Oryctolagus cuniculus: one gene and its partners. The protein of the gene in region 3 purifies or fractionates together with the protein of the main gene of each other region. This does not show direct contact. Links are inferred from orthologs where the notes say so. Each region holds a gene or a part of one and is shown on either strand. Other genes may lie near its edges. The genes, in order: MTCH2, SLC6A8 and OCIAD1.

What was found.
Region 1: the proteins of OCIAD1 (region 3) and MTCH2 purify together in Homo sapiens (affinity purification with mass spectrometry; 3 studies listed by BioGRID and IntAct, with this or other methods). This does not show direct contact. The link is inferred for Oryctolagus cuniculus from reciprocal best matches to the Homo sapiens genes OCIAD1 and MTCH2.
Region 2: the proteins of OCIAD1 (region 3) and SLC6A8 purify together in Homo sapiens (co-immunoprecipitation; 3 studies listed by BioGRID and IntAct, with this or other methods). This does not show direct contact. The link is inferred for Oryctolagus cuniculus from reciprocal best matches to the Homo sapiens genes OCIAD1 and SLC6A8.

The regions. Positions count from the first base shown.
Region 1 is NC_091432.1:18,373,057-18,376,647, forward strand, and holds part of MTCH2 (mitochondrial carrier homolog 2), read left to right. Parts: intron 1-191; coding exon 192-249; intron 250-507; coding exon 508-559; intron 560-924; coding exon 925-984; intron 985-2,036; coding exon 2,037-2,130; intron 2,131-3,591. UniProt on the Homo sapiens protein: Protein insertase that mediates insertion of transmembrane proteins into the mitochondrial outer membrane. Catalyzes insertion of proteins with alpha-helical transmembrane regions, such as signal-anchored, tail-anchored and multi-pass membrane proteins.
Region 2 is NC_091453.1:132,041,204-132,045,268, reverse strand, and holds the start of SLC6A8 (sodium- and chloride-dependent creatine transporter 1), read right to left. Parts: upstream 2,828-4,065; 5' UTR 2,168-2,827; coding exon 1,906-2,167; intron 1,824-1,905; exon of another isoform or gene 1,780-1,823; intron 313-1,779; coding exon 181-312; intron 1-180. UniProt on the Homo sapiens protein: Creatine:sodium symporter which mediates the uptake of creatine. Plays an important role in supplying creatine to the brain via the blood-brain barrier.
Region 3 is NC_091433.1:41,993,135-41,997,180, forward strand, and holds the start of OCIAD1 (OCIA domain-containing protein 1), read left to right. Parts: upstream 1-1,161; 5' UTR 1,162-1,441; exon of another isoform or gene 1,442-1,650; intron 1,651-2,788; 5' UTR 2,789-2,793; coding exon 2,794-2,851; intron 2,852-3,885; coding exon 3,886-3,966; intron 3,967-4,046. UniProt on the Homo sapiens protein: Maintains stem cell potency. Increases STAT3 phosphorylation and controls ERK phosphorylation. May act as a scaffold, increasing STAT3 recruitment onto endosomes. Involved in integrin-mediated cancer cell adhesion and colony formation in ovarian cancer.

The DNA of each region.
Region 1 (3,591 bases), on a different chromosome or scaffold from region 3:
CTATCACAGAACGTTGAAGTCCGTGAGTGGAAAGTCCTGGAGGATGACGGTGTCTGGGAGCCCACCCCATTCAGGCTGTTCTGACTGCGGGGAGGAGGGCTCAGTGTCTCCCACTACAGTATCCACTCATGTTCCCCTCGCAGGAATTTGAGTGTCATTAGATTTCAGAAGTGTGTGTTGATTGTTTCTAGACAACTCGAGAGATGATCGCTCGATCTGCTGCTACCCTCATCACACATCCCTTCCACGGTATGTTCGCGCTTGATCACTGGAACCTGATTTCCTGTCTTTGTGCAACTGGATCTCTCTTAACTGCTTAGATAGGTTGACATGGTAGTTAAGTGAAGTGCCTTCCTTGCCTGCCTGTTATTGTTTACTTGCTTGTTTTGGCTTATACCCAGTTTTTCCAGAGAGTGAAGTGTCTTTAGATGGAAAGCCATTTTTTTTCCAGGGCTATCAAAATGTATCTCCGCTTAATTTTAAAAGTCTCTTCTCTGTGTTCTGCAGTGATCACACTGAGATCTATGGTACAATTCATTGGCAGAGAATCCAAGTACTGGTAAGTGTTTTTGTTTACAAGTGTTCTAGAAGCTTTGTTAACCAAAATGTATACTACCTTGCGTTGTTATGATTCCTTAGAGTTTGACCTGCACATAAACAAGTAAAATATGGGAAAAATAACCTCAGGCAGGGTTTGGAGCCCACCCCAGGTCTCAGGAATAAGTTGGCGAGTCTGATACCAGCTATGCCCTTAGGTAGTTCGGTCCTTCTTCCATCTCCAGATTGATCTGTCTGCAGAGTGAGTGGGCACTAGAAAGTGGACGGGGCGGGGTGGTAAATTTGACCTTGTCAAAAGTGGTAATTATATTTTTTATAGCTCCAAAATAATCTTAATGTGTTTACCTTTCTTTCCTGCGTGCCCAGTGGACTTTATGACTCCATAGTAACCATCTATCGGGAAGAAGGCATCCTGGGATTTTTTGCGTGAGTTGCTGTTGACGTGTGAGTGTGTGATTTGTTGGTGAGCCAGAAGCTTTCTGAAAATATGGACAGTGAATCTTGGTTTAATCCCTGGAGAAAGTGGCCTTCCTGGGTTCACTTCATTTTAAGCTGTATTTAGGTCCCTCTGACTTAAATTCTCTTGTTGTAAAGATCCCAGACTTTTTCTCCTAGATATTTAAGATTTTGAAATGAGGATTTTTAATAAGTTAATGACAAGGTTCTACCCTTTAAAGTAGTTTTCCAGTCATATGTAGTTTATCAAATAAGGAAAATTAAGTTTTGAAAAATGGAGAAATCCTCTTAACATGTATTTTTCTTATTCTAAGAAAATAAGTTTTGCAAGGCTTGAATTTACTTTGGCAAAACTTAGACTATACTCCTTTTTCTGTTAAGAAAAACTCTGCATTATTAGCCAGTTTTCAGAATATTTGCACACACTTTGAGTATCACAAATGCTTTGGGAGGTCGGCAGCACAGCTACCCTAGTCATATCATAGAAATTAAAAGAACTCTATGCCCAGGCCCATTTGTTTGCTACCTGTCACATGGCTGGTAGGTGACAGAGGACATTAGAACCGTGGTCTTTTGTCTGTGGGTCATGTTCTTCCCACTGTTCTAGGCTGTCTCACCTAGTCTCTTGGACCCTGGAAACATTTTTTTTTGATGTCTCTCATTTGTTATCTTTGGATTGTTCTCTCTTTGTAATTTGAATGTCAAATGGTGGGGTAAAACCATATTTAAGTTTCTTCTCCAAAGTGCCTTGTAAATATTTGGCCTCCCTGCTTAGAGTCACTAATATGAAGGTGAGCCAGTGGCCTCAGTTCAGAGAGCTACAGCTGACCTGTGTTTTAAAAATGGGAACGGAAGTCATTAGAGACCAGCCTCAAGGACACCTAGAAATAAGGGTGGAGTCTGGTGTTTAATGCCTTTTCAGCTGCCTAGAGTTTTGAAATTTCTTAATTCTTTGAGAGTTGGCATTGAGTGCATACCTTTTTACTGATCATATTTCGGGGTTCTTATTTTTCTTCATGTAGGGGTCTTATTCCTCGCCTCCTGGGTGACATAATTTCTTTGTGGCTCTGTAACTCGCTGGCGTACCTTGTCAATACCTATGCACTGGACAGTGGGGTAGGTTGTGACCTGGGTGAGATGTTCTGGTGTGGGCTGTTCTGTATTCACTTGGCTGCACAGTTAGCTTTAAAGGAATAATGTACACAGTTTACTGTAGAGAGGTGGACCTAGAGTTCTAGTCCTGCCCCTGTGCCTGTGCAGGATTCACGGAGACCATTTCAAAGGCAGAACTGCAGAAAGAGAAGAGACAGCAAAGATCTTCCCTCCACGATTCATTCCCCAAATGTCCACAGAACAGCTAGGGCAAGGCCAGTGCAAGCTGGGAGCCTGGAACTCGGGCCGTCATCCACTGCTTTCCCAAGTGCCTTAGCAAGGAGCTGGATCAGGAGTCGAGCAATTGGCACTCCAGTGTGGGATGCTGGTGTTACAGAGAGCGGCTTAACCTGCTATGCCATAGTGCTGGCCCCTTTTTCTTCTTTTCTTGTTTTGTTTTCTTTTTGTTCTTGTTGAGATTACTACGTTTTGTTTGTTTGGGTTTTTTTGTTTTTTTGGCCTCATCTGAAGTATTAGCTTTTGAATTGAGCTTTCCAGAAGCCTCAGCCTGCGAGGTGTTGAGAATCAGCATTTCCTGGCCATTGTCTCCCTGTCCTAGCAGTTACAGGGACTCTGTCTACAGGCAGCACCCTGGCTTGGTGGAACACAAAGCACACCAAGGGGCACCTGCACACACATAACTGGTGTCACTTCTCGAGCGGAGAGGGCTTCTCCAGGTGGCCCTCGCTTGTCTGTGGTCTTCCTTTCTGTGGCCTCACTGTCAGCTTGTATCCAAGAGAAAATTCCCATTCCGAGAGACCACATTCATGTAACTTTTATTACAGTATGTTTTTGTAATTGTTCTATTTTATTATTGTCCTCAGTCTTATACTGTGCCTAATTTAACTTTATCATAAGTATGTTTGTACTGCTATAGGAAAAAACAGTATATGAGGGTACTTTAGAAACTTAGTGGGACATATAATTAAAAGATGGATTTATTTGGGTTTACCGGCTTTTGAAATCCATGCCTAGTTTTTTCATAATACACATTTTCCATGAACTTTTTTGTTTTAATAAAGTACTTTTTAAATTAAGATTTATTTATTTGAAAGAGTTACAGAGAAAGAGGGAGAGACAGAGGTCTTGCATCCACCGGTTCAGTCCCCAGGTGGCTGCAATGGCCAGGACTGGGCTTGGCAGAAGCCAGGAACCAGGACTTTTTTTCAGGTCTCCCACATGGGTTCAGGGACCCAAGGACTTGGGCCATCCTCCACTGGTTTCCCAGGCACATTAGCAGGGAGCTGGATTGGAAGTGGAGCAGCCAGGACTCAAACTGATGCCCATATGGGATGCCAGCAATGCAGGCAATAGCCTAACCTGCTATGCCACAACCGTGGCCCTTTTCCTAAACTTTCTTATTATAATATGAATTTATCTGTTAATGGAAATCAACTTGATCATTTTCACCACTGCTTTTTTTTT
Region 2 (4,065 bases), on a different chromosome or scaffold from region 3:
AATGTTGCGTGGGTCCTGTTCCCAGCCTGGCTATGCCCTCGAGGTCACGGCCGATGTTTCCCAAGGTCAGTGTGGCCTGCATGTCTCCCCCCAGACCGGGGCTCAGGGCAGGCAGACTGGGAGCCAGCTGCAGCGAGCTCCCTGCATGTGGGAAAGGAGGGTCCCTGAAGGGCTGCTCACCTTTGAACAGGGGGCAGATGTTCCAGACGTTGATGCTGCCAGCCTTCATGAACTGGCCTAGGGAAATCTCCAAGAAGAAAATGGGGATTCCTCCCACCAGGGCGATCAGGACGTACGGGATCAGGAACACACCTGGGGGAGGACACGTGGGGCAGCTTCACCTCCCGCAGTGCCCCCTGAAGACCGCTTGGGCAGGTGGCCCCTTCACCAGGACAGGACCGGAAGCATCTCCTGTCCCCAGCCAGGCTGCCCAGGCTCCGGAAGCCCTGAGCCCCAGCACTGGGTGAATCAGTGCAGGGGGTGGCTGCTGACTCAGAGGACCAAGGTGAAGAGTCTTGGGGGGTGGGTTCTGGGCCTCTGGACAGGAGGGGCCATGGTAGCCCCCAGGCCATTAGAGCCATGTTCCCTGGGCGGTGTGTGGGGAGGGTCCTAGGCCCTCTGGGCTCCCACCACCATCACCTGGGATGACCCCAAGAGCCCTGAGGACGCATGCACTGACGCGCACGTCTGTGCGCCAGCGAGGAATGGCCAGGGCTGCGCATGGTGTGTGTGCCCGCGCACCGAGGCTGAGTGATCTAGGGTGCGGGCCTGGTCTAAAGGCAGCGAGTCTGACTTGTGAGGGTACAAGGAAGAGGGGGGCAGCTGGCAGTCCTCTGCACGGCGGGGGGGGGGGGGTGTCACTGCAAGGACACGGGGAGACAGGTGGGAGGAAGGGACCAAGCCAGGCATAGCAAGCTCTAGTGGACCAGGCTAGAGACAGGCTTTGGCCAACAGGCCGGAGCCGGGGTAGGGGGGTGGGGGAAGGGAGGGGAGAACCAGGCACCAGCAGCTCCTGTCTACTGCGCTCGCCGCCTGCACTCTTGCCCCTGGCCCAGCTCTCTCCATTGCTTGCCCAGCTTCTGGGCCCAGCATCCTTCTTGTGCGTGACCTTGGGCCAAGGCTTTCCAGTGGCTCCTCAGTTTCCCACCCATCGCCTGGTCACTTGGGCTTCCCAGCAGCAGTGCCGCTTTGCAGTCACAGGACACACGCGTGCCCATCACTGTTGCTAAGCTGGGCTTTGGCGGGCATGGGGCGTGCACGCAGTGTGTCCAGTGGCGGCGCCAGGCGGGCCAGGCTGCAGGCTTCCCAAGCCTGGCGCAGGCACCCAGTGTTCCAGGCCCAGGCCAGAAGGGAGGGGAGGGAAAGTAGGGAAGGGAGGGGAGAGGAGAGGAGGGAGAGGGAGGGGAGGGGAGGGCAGGGCGTGGGGGAGGGACAGTGGCCCATTGTGTGTGTATGTGTGTGCGTGCGCCTATGTACCACTTGTGTGCTGTGCCTGGTGCGGGGGTGCCAGCCAGGGCTCCTCACCTCTTGGAGCCCCCTCCCCAGAAGGTCGCTCTGGCCTTCTTTTCCCATCTCGGTGGCTACTCACTCCAGGCTTGGGCCAGGAGTCTCGGGGCAGCCCCTCGGTTCTGCAGGAGGTTCATCTTCGCCCCGCCCCCCCCCCCACTGCCAGGCACATGACTGGTGAGGGGGGTGGAGGCCGCCGGACTGGGCCACCAAGTGGCCCAGGCCGGCGAGGGGCGGGCCCCGGGCCTCAGTCCCCACGCACCCTGCGGGACCTCCCCAGCTTTTGGACTTCGCCCCTCTGCTCTGGTGGGCCAGAGGTAGGCAGGCAGGCAGGCAGGCAGGCAGGGGGAGGGAACCCCTGGCGAAGATCGGGGCCGCGACAGGGGCGGGGGCGCTCACCTCCGCCGTTCTTGTAGCACAGGTAGGGGAAGCGCCACACGTTGCCCAAGCCCACGGCGAAGCCCACGCACGACATGATGAAGTCCATCTGGCGCGTCCAGGTCTCGCGCGGCGGCACGGCCAGGCAGCCGCCGGGCGCCCCCAGGCCTGCGGGGCCATCGCCCTTGGCCGGGGCCCCGTCGGGCCCGGGCGCGATGAGGGGGCCCTTCTTCTCGTCGCCGGACACGCTGTAGATGCCGTTCTCGGCGCTCTTCTTCGCCATGGCCCCGGCGGGCCGCACGGCTGGGCCGGGGGTCGCGGCGCCTCGCGGGGGCGGGCGGGCAGGGGGCGCCGGAGGCACCCGGGGGTGGGGGGGAGGGCCCCGAAGGCGCGGGCCCGCCCGGGGGCCTCGGGGGCGGCCGGGCCGGGGGGGACGGGGTGGCGAGCGGGCGGGCGGGCGGACGGGGTGCGGGACGGCGGGGGCTGCGCAATCAGAAGCAGTCCACGAAGCACTTGAAAGTGAGCCTGAAGAATCTCATGTGTGTCGGGGGCCCGGGGGCGCGCGGGCGGCGGCGGGGCCCGGCCGAACGGCGGCGGCTCCCGAGGCTTCTGCCCGCGGCTCGGGCGGTGGCGGCGGCGGCGGCGGCGGCGGCTCGCCCGGCCCGAGGCTCAGCCTAGCGGAGCGCGGGCGGCATCAGGCGCCCACTGTCTGCAAGTGGCTACCGGAGCAGGGTCCTGCAGCCCGCGCCCCCAGCCTCGGCCCGAGCCCTCGGCGGCTCCCCTGTTCGCCCGCGGCTTCGGCGGCGGCGGCGGCGGCGGCGGCGGCGACGGCGGCCCGGGCGCGCCTCGCCCCCTCCTTCCCCGCGGCGGCGGCTCCAGCCGCTCTCGGGGCCGCGGCGGGCTCAGCGACTCGCCACCGCACTCCGACTGTCCCTCTCTTCCCCGGCCGCATCGGCCGCTGCTTAAGAACCGACTCCGGGGTGATGTCACTGTCGCCCCACCCCCACGACCGGGCTGCTCCCCCTCCCCCTCTCCCATCCCTCCCTCCCGCCCTCCCCGTCACTCCGCCCACCTCCTCCCGCCCTCCTCCCGAGGAGGAGACGCCGCTCCAGCGGGGAGCAGGATGGCTGCTACCTGGGGCGCCGGCCAGCACTTCCTCCCCAAGGGGCCAGGACCTCGCCCCGGCTTCACCTGGCCTCGCTGACTCCAGATCTGCCTTCCCTCGACCTGCCCTTCCCAGCTTAAAGAAAGCGTCTTCCCTGGCCTCCTTCCAGCCATCCTGTGCCCTCCCTCTTCTCTTCTCCCCTCTCCCTCCAGGCTGGAGCCACCCAGATCTGTCCAGCCTGTCCCATCTCCAGGCTGGGCGGGTGCTGGGTACCAAAGGCAGCAGGCTTCCCGGCCTCCTTGCAGGGCTGGGTCTGTTTCTAGTGAGGGGAGCAAAGGTTGCCGCGTATCTACCTCCAGCTGTGCTGTGGGGCTTTGCACAGGCGCAACCCTCCCGCCCCCCTGGCACTCCGCCCTTCCCAAGAGGTACAGCCTTGAAACGCAGGAGGTCACGGTCAAGGGGATCCTGCCTTGCTGAGGAGGGAGGCTAGACAGGTACAGAAAGGGAGCCTCTTTAGCTCCCTTGGCTTAGTAAGGGGTCCAGCAGGGGCGGCTGACTTGCTGGAATAGGGTAAGGCTGCCCCCTGGTGCCTGGCAGGTGCACAGACCCTCCTCGGAAGGTCTGCAAGCCAGCTCCCCTCTCCTGGCGCTCCTCTCCCCGGGGACGGCCCTCCAGGCGTCCCTCGTCAGAGCAAGGTGGCTGGAAGGGGTCATGGTCATGGTCCTGGCTGGAGGGGGGCGGGTAAAGCGTGCCCCCCTTGGTCCCACACTCCCTGATCTAATTACACACACGGCACTCCCCAGATGGTTCATCCCGTTAAGCTAAGCCCGCAGCCATCCGGCCAGCTTTAGGAAGAAAAGCAGTTCCGGCGCGAGCCAGATTGAACCTGCTAGGTGAGGGAGGGGCAGCATCTCCACCCAAGCTTCCAGGAGGAGCCCCTAGGGGTGTGTGTTTCATGGGAAGAGAGACAGGGGTGTCACCTGTGTTCACAGGGGGTGGGGCTGGGGGGGGACCCTGGAAGCAGCTGGGCTGCACTGTTTGTGAAAGCCCCCTAACTTGGATCTTCCTGGCCCAGC
Region 3 (4,046 bases):
CTGCTGGTTCTTCCCGGGTTGGCTACTATCCCTTCCACCTCCGTGGAAGGGCAGTTCCTCCTGGCCACATTCCCCACTTCCGCAGGGGAGCGGCACACCGCCGGCCGGCTTTCTCGGGGGCTGCACGGGTTCCCTTAGATGTTCCCCATAGATGTTCCTGGTGCATGCCGTCTCTCTCCTCCTTTATAGTCCTCCTCCGCCAATCCCAACTCGGCTGCCCACACGCCGAGTACGCTGCTCTCCTCCAATCAGGAGCAAGTCCTACAGTTTATCAGTTGAACTGGAGGCAGCTGTGCGGAAGCTGTTTACTTCTCTCCCAACGCCACATTGTGGGAGAGCAGATGCATAGAATAAGTCCCAATTCGAGTAACTTAGTCAAGTCCGGATTGCTCCCCACAACTCCGCCTTCCAAATAAATAAATCTTAAAAAAAAAAAAAGACAAAGTAAGGATAGAGGCAAAGGGGCTCACAAAGAGATGACATCTGAGAGGTTTTAGGAGCTGATGAAATTTGAAGACTGGGATTGCTCTCTGTCGAGTCACCAACATCTTTCAGCACCAATAAGTACTCAGTAAGTACTTGCGGAGGGAATGAATGAACGAAAAGGAACGAATGGTTGCTGGGTGTGGCAGCATGGTGTCTGCCAGACAAATCCAAGTCCTGCTCTCAAATATATGCTCGCTAACACAGCGAGCACCTGCGCCTCATTTTAGATGTGTTTTAATCCTAACAACCCTATGAAATGGCTATTATTTCCATTTTTTATTAGAAATTAGCAAAAAAAAAAATCCTAAGAAGCAATATGTTGGAAGGTTCTAGACCTGGTCAGACACTAGACTCCAGAAGGTCTCCCAGCTAAACTACCGCGCATGCTTAAAAGTTGAGTCGTACGATAGAGCCTAGAGGCTAAGCCTCAAAACATTGAAAAACAAGAAAAGCTGGGAACTTGCAACAAGCGGACGAAGGTGCAGGGTTCCAGTCAGGCTGTGTCACAGGAAGATGAGCGAGGTGCGTCACAACAGCCTCAGCCTCGCTTCCACTCGCCTTCAGGGAGGGGGCGGGGCGGCCTCCTGGCCGGCGGCGGTAGCCGCGCAGCCGCAGTGCAGCTCGTCAGCGCCGCGGCTGGCGTGTGAAGCGAGGACGGACGGGCAGCGGAGGGCGGGGCAGGCAGACGCAGGCGCAGATGGCCACCCGGGCGCCACGCGCCTGTAGATGCTGCAGGGAGGCCTTGACGTGATTTCCTGCCGTGGGCCACTAGTGTTTCCGGGTCGCGGTCATTTTTGAGCCCTTGTCTTGGGGATTCGTGGGCGGCTGCGTCGCTGCCCACCCCTACCCCCGCAGCTCTCCTACTCGCTTTTCGCCCTCCCTACCCCTTTTTGGGTCCTCATCTGCCCCGGTCGCCCGGGCTCGCCTCGCAGTCGCCTGCCGCTGTCGTCGGGAGGTGGGTGAGGTGACGCAGAAAGTGCCATTTGCCCCCCTTCGTCTATGCTCTCCACCTTAGCGCGGCTATCCACTCGTTTGCACCTTCCGCCATTTTCCTCCTGCGGGGTGGACCGATCGCGCTTTGGGTCTCGGGCCTCTGAGTGCTGGTGCCTGGGCGAGCGAGGGGTTGTCCTTGGTGGGGTGTGGGGGAGAGAAGGTGGTGGTGACGTATGTGCGGGGGTGTTGTTCGGGAATGGCTGGTGGGACAGGGGTATAGTGTGGGTGGAGGATGGAGTACGGCGGGAGGCTGGCGAGCGTTCAATTCAGGTTTTTTGTTTATGGAATTAAGAGATTAAAGTGGTACTGTTTTAAGGGGCCTTGTCGGCCTTGACAATGTCCTTTTAGGGTTTCTAGAAGATACCGTTGTGGGAAGTGAGAAGGTTGCATTATTTCCTAGGAGGTTAAGGTGTAAGTAGTTTGTTCAACAGGCTCCAGCCATGCACGAATTCATCCTGTTTTTATTTCTATTCTCTGTCTAAGGGGTTGTATAGTAGGCCCTCAGTGATGGTTTATGAAAAGGTCCAATTGCCAGACTTCTTCGTGTATGCCATTTCCTGTTTTTATGCAAATTGCCTTTAAAGTGAGAATAATCCGAAGCTTATGTTAGTTAACATTATATACACTAGTTACCTGGTCTGTTGGTCTGTTAAGCGCTGAGGGATGGGTTAAGAAAAACAGTAAGAATTGAGAAATAAAAATGTGTATTTTTGTAATGTACATTTCTTTCTCATATTCTATGTCATTTGAAGATTATCTGGGTGAGGGAGGAAAGTTTGAGGAATTTGCTGTTATCAGCAAAGGAGAAGGTTATGACGTCTTTGTTATTCCGTTTTTTTTTTGAGTACTGCTTTGCGTGTGTCCAGATTGATGATTTCATTTTTTAAAATTGAAACCCAGGAATGATTTGAGGTTTTTAAGTCTTCTACTTTGGAGAACTATTTTAATCATTGTGTATCGACTTCTGAAAGGTTAAAAAGCTTCAGTAAGGGAAAATTTTTCAGTTGTTGAGGTGGTGTTTTGTATCATTATATTAAGCAGATGACAGATACTTAAAAAAGGCGAAAGATTTATTCATTCTGAAGAGAAACCAAAATAGATGACAAATACTTATAAAGCACCTCTTTTCAATTCAGGAACCTAACATTAATAATTAGTCCCAAATTTTTAGTAAGAATGTAACTTTTTCATGTAGCTGTTTTATTATATCAAGTTACTGTACTTAATGTTTGGTGTTTAGTAAATATTTGTTGGTTGCTTCTAATTTGTTGATAGTTTCTAATGCTTAATATAAATGTTTTTGATACAGGGAAGATGAACGGGAGGGCTGATTTTCGAGAGCCGAATGCAGAAGTTCCAAGACCAATTCCCCGTAACTATCTATTAAGTATTTATAAATAGAAGCACTTTCTATGTAAAGAAAATGCCACTTGAATAACAGTAGCAGCTGTGCTGGTCTTCATAGGTGTTTGATCTGTGCATTCACACAGGACCCCACACTTGGTTTAATGTTCTACAGTTGCCATCTGATACTTTTTTTTTTTTTTAAGATTTATTTATTTATTTATTTGAGAGGTAAAGTTACAAACAGAGAGAGGGAGAGACAGAGAGAAAGGTCTTCCATCTGCTGGTTCGCTCCCCAAGTGGCTGCAATGGCTGAAGCTGTGCCAATCTGGCACCAGGAGCTTCCCCCAGCTCTCCTGCAAGGGTTCGGGGCCAACTTCTGTTGCTTTCCCAGGCCATGGCAGAAAGTTGGATCTAAAGAGGAGCAGCCAGGACATGAACTGGCGCCACCATCTTCATATTCTTAGTAATCTGAGCAAGGGGTCTCACCTTTCCATTTTGTACTGAGTCTAGCATATTTTCTTCTTTTTCTTTCTTTCTTTTTTTTTTTTTTTTTTTTTTTTTTTTGAAACAGTTACACAGAGAGAGGAGAGGCAGAGAGAGACACAGAGAGGTCTTCCATCTGATGGTTCACTCTCCAATTGGCCGCAACGGCCGGAACTGCGCTGATTAGGAGCCAGGAGCTTCTTCTGGGTCTCCCACTCGGGTGCAGGGGCCCAGGGATCCGGGCCTTCTTATGCTGCTTTCCCAGGACACAGCAGAGAGCTGGATTGGAAGTGGAGCAGCCAGGTCTTGAATCGGCACCCATATGGGCTGCAGGTGCTGCAGGCCAGGGCGTTAACCCGCTGTGCCACAGTGCCTGGTGCTAGCAAATTTTCTAGTAAGAGTTTTCTAGCCCAGAGTAGGATTAAATTCTGTTTGAAGTCCAATTTTGTGAAAAGTTTTCAAGCAACTGTTTCACTACTTCATTAAGAAAAAATACTGGTGTATTTTGTTAATATTTAGATAAAACTGAGTTGTTTTATGGGTATTTAAATATTTTCCAATTTGCTTTGGTAAAAGACATAGGGGCTGATTACATTCCAACAGAAGAAGAAAGAAGAGTCTTCGCAGAATGCAATGATGAAAGCTTCTGGTTCAGATGTGAGTTTAATTTTCTAATCAATATAATTTGGTACAAAATTAGTACCTGAAATTATGATTCCACATAGAATAAAATTAAC